Neurospora crassa OR74A: one gene and its partner. The protein of the gene in region 2 interacts with the protein of the main gene of each other region in a biochemical or structural test. Links are inferred from orthologs where the notes say so. Each region holds a gene or a part of one and is shown on either strand. Other genes may lie near its edges. The genes, in order: NCU08067 and nrc-1.

What was found.
Region 1: the proteins of nrc-1 (region 2) and NCU08067 form a complex in vitro, tested with the Saccharomyces cerevisiae proteins (2 studies listed by BioGRID). The link is inferred for Neurospora crassa OR74A from reciprocal best matches to the Saccharomyces cerevisiae genes STE11 and SHO1.

What each region holds. Positions count from the first base shown.
Region 1 is NC_026501.1:156,566-160,873, reverse strand, and holds the start of NCU08067 (osmosensor protein), read right to left. Parts: upstream 2,838-4,308; 5' UTR 1,596-2,837; coding exon 1,446-1,595; intron 1,368-1,445; coding exon 1,059-1,367; intron 998-1,058; coding exon 488-997; 3' UTR 1-487. UniProt on the Saccharomyces cerevisiae protein: Plasma membrane osmosensor that activates the high osmolarity glycerol (HOG) MAPK signaling pathway in response to high osmolarity.
Region 2 is NC_026503.1:1,802,853-1,807,115, reverse strand, and holds the start of nrc-1 (MAPKK kinase), read right to left. Parts: upstream 2,926-4,263; 5' UTR 1,916-2,925; coding exon 1,496-1,915; intron 1,428-1,495; coding exon 1-1,427. UniProt on the Saccharomyces cerevisiae protein: Serine/threonine protein kinase required for cell-type-specific transcription and signal transduction in yeast. It is thought that it phosphorylates the STE7 protein kinase which itself, phosphorylates the FUS3 and or KSS1 kinases.

The DNA of each region.
Region 1 (4,308 bases), on a different chromosome or scaffold from region 2:
TTCCCCCGCTTTTTTGTCCTGTTCCCTCTTCCATTGCCATTCTCCAGTAGCGGCCTATCCTCTGCCGTAGCTGCCGAACGCAAAATAGAAGACATGTAAAGTTGATACAAGAACTAGTGTAACACGAGAAAGGAAAGACATTGAGAAAAAGGGTAAGAGAAGATAGAAAAATGACATTGCAAGAAAAAAGGGAAAAAAAACTCCATTTCCACCCAAACCTTGCCCCGTCCGCATCCAACATCCGGTTTCGCCTTCGTTTCCAAACGAGCCACGGTTTTTGGTGTGTCGCATTACGAGTCCCGTGGGTGGTCGAGAAGAAAGTGTAACGTTAATGTGGGTATAAAACGCCGACTCAAAAGAAAGATAGATAAAAGAAAAAAAACCACTTCATGATTTTGTTTTGTACTGGCGGTTCACACGCCAAATCCTCTCTTTTCAAAAAGACGAAGAAAAACCTCAACTCCATCCCCGACCCATTCAAGCCCGCTCATAGCAAAATCAAGTAATTGCTCGGCGCAATACCCGTTTCTCCATTCTCCTTCCGTGCCTGCCACCACCGCCCGCTCACGTCGCTAATCTCCAGCACCTCATGCTTGGAGAAACTAATCTCGTTGGCATCGTCCGGGTTGGCCTCATAGCTGAATATCGCCTTGGCCCTGTACGGGTACTCCGTCGGCGGAACGATCTCCCCTTCTCCTTGCGGCTTGGGGATGTTGTTGGACGAGAAACCCTGGGGAATCTGCGACTGGCGAGCGGGGTTTTCGAGCCCGTTGAGCTGACCCGTGTACATTTGCGGAGGCTGGAGGCCCGAGGCCGAGGTTTCAGGGCGCATGTTGTAGGAGCCGTAAGCATTGGGAGAGGAGAGACCGTTGTGGTTCATGGTTTGGCGGCTCATGTGATGCGCAGGGAGGGTGGATTCCTTGGTCAGCGCAAAGGAGTCGATGTAGGCACGGGGAACAGCCGATGGGGCGGAGCCAAAGTAGAATATCCAGATGATCTGGCGGGACGTTAGCAAATGGGGTCAGCCAGCTGGGGGAAGTTAGCGGGGAACCGCATACCGTCACCATGGACAACAAGATATACCCAGCCGCTGTCGCCTCCATGGACGCAACGCCACTGTAAATCAGGTTGTTGATCGACGACGTGGAGCCGACCAGCCCGACGGCCAGGTAGCCAACGATGGCGACATGGTAGGTCTGAGCGCTGTCCGAGGCGATGACGATGAAAATGCCGAGAATGAGGAAGAAGTTGAAGACGAGGGTGAACCAGCTGTAGGTTGGCCAAACAATGACGGGAGCCCCATTCGATCCGTCATTTTGGTCCCTAAAGCCAAAGATGGATCCAAACAGGATGATGATCCATGACAGCTGTGGTGATTGTCAGTTCGTGAAGGCGACAGGACGGGAAAAGGGTGGACGCCAGCGCGCGCGCGTATGGAAACTCACAGTAGCAATAGAAGTAGTGGCCAGAGCAAATGGGTCACCAATAATGTTGCCCATGTCTATGCCTTTTCGGCGGTACGAGTTCCTGCCGTGTTCCATTTTGGGGTTGTTGAAGGACGGGGGATAGTTAACCGATCCTCCGTACGATTGCATCAAGGGCGAAGGTCGCCAAGGAAGAGCGTCCTCTCGGGATATTCGAGGTCCGTGTTATAAGTGATGGACCGACGTGTGTGGGACACTTTAGTTGACGCACACCTTCACTTGGGGTATAAGATGACGGCGAGGGGCCGTGTGTGTGTCGTATTCCGGGGACCAGTCCGCGGTTGGTAATGCGATGTGTTTGTTCTGCAATGACAGATGCAATGTCACGAAAAAAAAAAGAGAGGAAGTTCGACGGCGACAAGTGGTCGAAGTCGAAGCAAGAAATTCGGGTCGGGTAGCAATTGTCGTTTGCTGCAAGACGTTGAGCGAGGAATTCGGTGTCCAGCAACGCGGTATGGCTCGTCTCGGTCGTTGCAAATATGGGTAGGTAGTAATTGGGCGATGTATGGAAATGAGTCGAAGGTAGGACAGTTGCAATGTTATTGAAAGATTGGGTGGTCGCTGTCGGGCTGCTCCGTCGGGTGTTTGTTGGTTGGCAATCCGCAAAGAGGAGGCTGAGTCCAAGGGAAGTGGCCGTCGGGTACTCCAAGGACACTCAAGACGAGGACAGAGCCTTTGAATCTTCAGGGGAAATAAGCAACGAGTCGGTCGCACGGGTCGGGAGATGTGACGGTACGGTAGTTGTCCGTTGGAACGAATGGCGGCGGCGGTACGGTATGGGTAGATACGGTAAACACGCAAGATCAATCGGTAGTTGGAAGAAGGGCGGTAGAAGAGTCCACTGGAAGTCTGGAAATGGTCCTGGATTCCTTTTTCCTGTTTTCTTTCTTCTTTTGTTTCCCTTTTTCTTTGTTTGTCCGGTGTATGACGGTAGTCGGGTGTGATATCTCGGTACCTGCCAACGTCGTATTGTACTATCCCCCCGTCTTGTTCCGGTTCGCGTTAATAAAGGGCTCAGCTCAGCTCAGGGTCGGACAATCGTATGCTGTCGTCGTCGTCGTCGTCGTCGTCGTCGTCGAGGTTGATGAGGTTGAGGGAACGAAGGGAGCGATTGATGGATTGAGCAAATTGTTGTTGGACGTGGCTGGGGCGATGATCAACGCCGGCCAATGGAGAAGTGAAAGGGAAGAAAAATTGAAGGAGGGAACGAACAGAAATGAGGGGATCGCACGGGCAGGACGGACGGACGGGGACGTGAAAAGGGAAATGGTGTGTGTGTGGGTGTGGGTGACGACGGCTGGGTGGTGGTGGGAGATCCGGAATGGAAGGCCAACGACGGGGCCTGGCTGAGGGACTCCGGGGCGGGCAGCAACCGGGGGGGGATGAGGTGGCTGCTGCTGTGGAAACGAGTGGACGAGACCGCGCAAGAGAAGTGAGGAAGGGACCAACAATGGAGCCCACTGAATCCACTGAAGATGGGGGGGAGCCATGTCCGCTGTGGAGGCTCTGGACTCCTGGAGTGCGTTGCCTGGCGGCTGCTCGCTGCACAATGAATGAATCCTTCCCTTGCAGTGACATAGGTACAATGTCCGGGCAACACGCGGCAACACTGCGAACGAGCCAATCGCATTATTGCATTTGCTGGGCTAATGAATGCAATGTCCAGTCAGAAGAGGCACGGTCCTCAATCTCACTGCAAATCGTTAGGCCAAGACATTCCAGGCGCTGCTTACCTACTGTACCTCTAGCGGCTGTGTGGGGACGGGAGCATGGAGCAAATTAGAGGTACACAGACACAGGGCGGGCTACTGTAGCAGCTCGATTTCTTTTTCTGCACTTTTTGACAGTCTTTGTAGCTGATGGTGGTGATTGATGGGGAGTCATACCTACCTAGAGGTAGACTCTGCTTGGGTGATTAACCTGTTCAAAGTGAATGATGGCTCTAGGGTACTGGGTCATGGCCAGGACATCTTTATTTTTATTCTTGTTTTCTTCTTCCATCTTGATATATCTTACCTCGACACTGTTCAAACTCATAGTCAAAAAGTCTCAAACATTCACAACATTGTAACACTCGGAAGTCAGTCAGGCAGCTAGCCATGTGGCTTGCGTCTGTGCTCCATTCACTCATTGCTAGGTCGTCCAGAAACATCGTGACCGACTGTAAATGATAGGCTGAGAGCTGGCTACCATGCGACATCACTCAGCTGAGCTCGGTGACGGGCAGAAAATGTCAACAGAGAGACGGATTCACCATGCCACGAATCCACACCCATGCAGCATGCAGGCAGGGGCTTTAGGCTCGCCGCGTGAGTTCTAGGGCAACGCCGTTCGTTTCGGAATCCCATCTGCAGGAGCCAAACAATCACTGCCGGCTATCAAGCGTGTTTGTGACGTTTGTAAAAAGCCTCTCCCGTGAATTCTCATTCCAGATAGAGCGCTACCACAGCACCGTCGATCTGGTTTTTGTCGGTGCTAACGGCGAGCAGAGTGTTGATATCGGCTGAACATTCCAGTGGGCCAAAGATGACGCCCGACTCCCGCGCATCTGTCGCGTGATATCTGCCGCGCAATGACATCTGCCCCATTCCCTTGGTCACTAGCATTGTTCTCGTACGAATGTGCCAACCACTGTTGATCTGCTCTTCACACTTCGTAAAGTGCACGCGCGCTACCAACGGCGTGTCGTATTCCATACGCACAACCCCAGTGATTTGTTCGCGGTCGCCTAACCTGTTGATCAATCGTGACGCCGTTCTCTAGCGGCGGTAAAATGGCTTCCGTGTGAGTTTTGTTTCCCGCAAGCCAAAATCCATGCTCCTCC
Region 2 (4,263 bases):
CCATCTTCAGCAAGTGCTTCCTGTATTACCGCGGAATCGGCCGAGTTGTTGGTGCCGCTGTCGTAGTAACTGTGTCTGACTATGTTACCATCGGGATCAATGACGCTAACTGCAGCTGTATCCGAGCCGCTGTCCGAAAATGGAACGAATGATCTCCGGTTAGGCTCGGTTGGGGAGCCTTCTTCTTGTAGCGTATCAAGCACGGATGAAGCCACAGAATCTCTATACCCGTGAGGCGCCCTTGGCAGCACATCACGCGGGCGTACCTTGGCAATCTGGTTGGAAGCGGTCAACCAGCTGTCTGCGATGGTAGGGATCGGCGGAGCGTCTTGTATGCTAGAGGCAAAGCTAAGGGTGCTGGCAACACTCAGACGATGGTTCACTCTACTCAGACGTGCCGAGCGTCTCATGGACAAACGGGCCGTCCTGTCAATAGCTTCACGAGAGTGATCTGGAAAGTAGCTCGTAAGATCCGAGGCGATAAGCTCGCTAGGCGGTCTCAGCCCACCGAACTGACGAAGTGCTTGTGTACGGCGAGGCATGGCCCTGGGGGTTTCCAGAGGTGCTGGCCGCTCTAGATCCCTAGCAGCGTTTGAGACGTTTCTTTCTCGGTCCTGATAGGACATGGGAGACAGCGGAGGCTGTTGTTGGAGGTCTTCCCAGCCCACTCCCAGCACCTTTTGCAGCTTCAGCTGACTCCGCTTATCGCTGGGCTCAATTGGAGGCCTATGTGTTTGCTGTGCTTCCTCCATCGCAATGGCAGCTGCTCTTTCGAGTTCTGCCTTGCCCGGCTCTCCAGAAGGAACACGCCTGAGAATCAGGCGGTTGCGCTCTGGGCGAGTGTGGTCCTTGATGACTCTCCACAGCTCCGTATCCCCGAGGCGGCGGCATTGGTTTGGGTCCGGATCAACGCCGGCCAGTACCCAGAAACAGTAATTCCTTTCATGGTCCTCCCGCAGGCCAAACTTACGTAGGGTAACACGCATAACCTCTTCACAGGTGTTGCAGTCGGCAATCTTAACAACCTTGGTTACGCCACCTGTGGAGATGACGCGAATGACATCCTGACCCTGTGGCAGCGCAGCCATCAGCGAACCATCCATGCTGGAGTTGTTCCTAGTGTGGGCTTGTACCAATCGGCCGGGGTGGGACTCAGGAGGAGACATGGGGAACCGCGAGGGAGCAGCTTGTGTAGGTTGATTGCCATAGCCCTGTTGTTGCACATAGCCTCGCCGGGCTTGTCTGTTGTAGTCAGAACTAGGTAGCGGCGAGGTCGGCCGCGAGGAAGGTTTCGACATGTCGGCATTGGGGGTGAGTTCGTACTGGCGGTCATAGCGCCGAGGAGCGGACGTTGCCGCTGACCGATTTGTGATGGGCACTCGTAAAGAAGTCGCTGAATACTGGTTATCAAGTACAGCAAAGGATTCCTAGAGAAGCATTAGCCGTTAAGCCAAGTCAAAGTGGCAAGCCCGGACACCTGAATAGCCAAACTGACCCTGTCTCTCTTTCTCTGGTTCGCATAGGTCTGTGTCCGGAGTTTCTTGATGCTCAGAAACAAGCGGACGCGATCTCCAACCTTTTCGATTCCCATCTCTTTGAGGACCTCCTTGTCAATCTCCAAAAGCGCCTCGCCATTTATGTTATTTTTGCGGAATATCCTTTCGTAGTCGCCGCATTTTACGCTCCTGAGATATTCGCACACCCTGTCCTCGTTCCAGTTCTTGACCGATTCGGGCCCGTCAAGTTCGGAAAATTCGGATTCGGTAGGACTCGCATAGTTCTGGTTGGTCGCATGAGAGACTGCAGGCGCTCTTCGCGAAGGATTGTAGGCGGTTTGTGGTGTGCTCGCCATCATGGTGGACGACTGGGAACCCAGCGAAGGCGTATAGGGCGACTTGGATGCCAGCATGGCCATGGTTGAAGCGACGGTCAGCTTGGAAGTAATGATGACATGGGCTGTTAGGTGTATTTTCTGGTGGTGGCGAGACGACGTCGAATGTTTTGCGCGTGCAGAGCGGTTGGGGGGGAGGGGGGATCGATGGAAGCAGAAGCAGAAGCAGAAGCAAAGGCGGCGGTTGTTGCTGCTACTGCTGCTTTCTGCAGGGAACGGCGATGGTGAATATGTAGGCGCACAGACTGCCGATGCTAATCCAAAAAGCCAAGGCAAAGATGGGCTGACCGCTGTCCGGCAATCAGTGGCTTGCCCGTCGTCCGGTATATGTGGAAGTGGATGAAGCGACCGAAAGAATTGTCTGGCGTCGGGCCCAACAAGCTCAACAAGGTGCGGTAATGCCTGGAGCTGGTGCGTGGTGAACGTGTGTTGGTGGTCACACGCTTGGATATGAAGCAGGCTCGGCAAGAAAGACGACGTGGAGAGGGAGCAAGGGGCCCTTGGTTAGAGGTGTGTTGTTGGAATCTCCTTATTCGTGACACTGACAGCCAACGAGGAGACTAACGGTACTAACCACAAAGCCGCCCGGCCCGCTACCTAACACTGTCTCTCCTTGGGGGAGGGAGGGAAGCGGAGGGGAGGGGACCTGGAAGCGCGCAACGGGCTGTCTGCGACAATGATAGCAACCCTCTTTATTGTCTCTTGAAACTCGCACACAACAAGAGAATGGACATCAAAGCACCCAGCCGAAATAATATGTAGTGAAGTAGTGATGGATGTCAATGCAAGTAGAACTAGTAAGTAGTGTACCTAGTTGAAGGTGCCCGGCTTGGGAAGCCTGTGCAATGCCTGCTGTGTACTATCTGCAGCGGTGCCCTGTGCGCTGCCCGCGATGATCCAAAATTTGGTTGACTTGTCCGGGGTGGAATGTGAGCGCTGCTGGAGGAGAGAGAGAGACAACACGCAAAGTGCGCAAATTCTTTACGCACAACGAAGAGACCACGGCAAGAAAAACCCCTCAATGCCGACTGCGGAGCGAATGGAAAGAGAGACGAAGAAAAAGTTAGCCCGACAACTCGACAAATGGAGAAGGAAGATGGAGGACGGAGGAGGAGCTCGCTTCAGTGGGCATGGAGTCGCTCTTTCCACTTGTGTAGGTTGTTGTCACGATGGAAGTGGCCGCCGCGGGGGCAGGGACAGCCGGGGGCCTGACTGCCCTGGGCCTGGATTGGGACGATAGCGTCTTTTGCTGCACCTTCCCTCTCTAGCGGGCTGCTGAAGAGAGGAAACCGCGGCGTTGAATGCGTTGAATGCGGCCTGGACGGGACTGCGACTACTTACCCTGCAAGACTTGTGCAAGTGTCTGTAAAGAGAAGGCGGGGGCTCTAACGCTAGCGGCGGATTGGACAGCCTGCAGAATCATCCGCCGCCAAGCCGCCAAGCCGCTAATCATTGCAGGCGCCCCTTGAAACAACGCTTCTTTGGCTCCACCTCTCACATCGCTCGGGAACCGAAAAAGACGATGTCGTATTTGGAAATGATGGCATCCAACTTCTGCGCCCCAAGTGTCACAACGCCGTGGATAGTGGTAGTGTAGATACCAGGCCAACAATTCGTCGAGCCATCGTTCCCCAACTCAAGAGACTGTTCTTGTCTGTTGTTGGTGCATCGGGACCGGCATGAAGAGGCGCAAATAAAAGTCAAACAACACCCGGCAACAACGACAACGACAACAACGACAAGAAGTGAACAGCAAAGTGGAAGATCGGCACTAGGGACCGAAAAATCGGCCTGAAACGTCACCTAGCCATGTGGATAGGTGATAGTGTATGTAGTTAGGCATATTCAAGAGAGCCGTGGTTCCGGCAGCATGTCTGGGCAACCTCCACGCCTTCGCACGCAGATAACCGCCCCAACCCAACTTAACGTTCCATTGCCACCACCAAACTCAGCACACTGGTCTGCATGGAAGCTTTGAGTCCTTTTCTTTGTTGCGTCTTCGTTCCAGCCACGGCGTCGATTATCGACCCGTATCTCGCTTTTTGCAGGCCACAATCTAATTCTGCTGGAACTACACACACTATGGGCGGGAAGGGGCGGTGGAAAGATGCGACTGAACAGCACGGGGCAACATGTTAGTATACCGCCGAAAAGCCCCCATTCATTTCCTTGATGCTGTCGCGTAACCCTCCGTCCCAGGGTTTCCTTTATCGAGAAGTCTGAGCGACCCCAGGGACAATAAGGCTTCATGCGAATGGACCCCAAGTCTTTTTTTTTTTTTTTTTTTTTTTTTTTTTTTTTTTTTCCCTTGCTCGCCTGCACCAACCCATCGCATGTGCTATCCGTTTGAACCCCACTCAACTTTCCTTGTG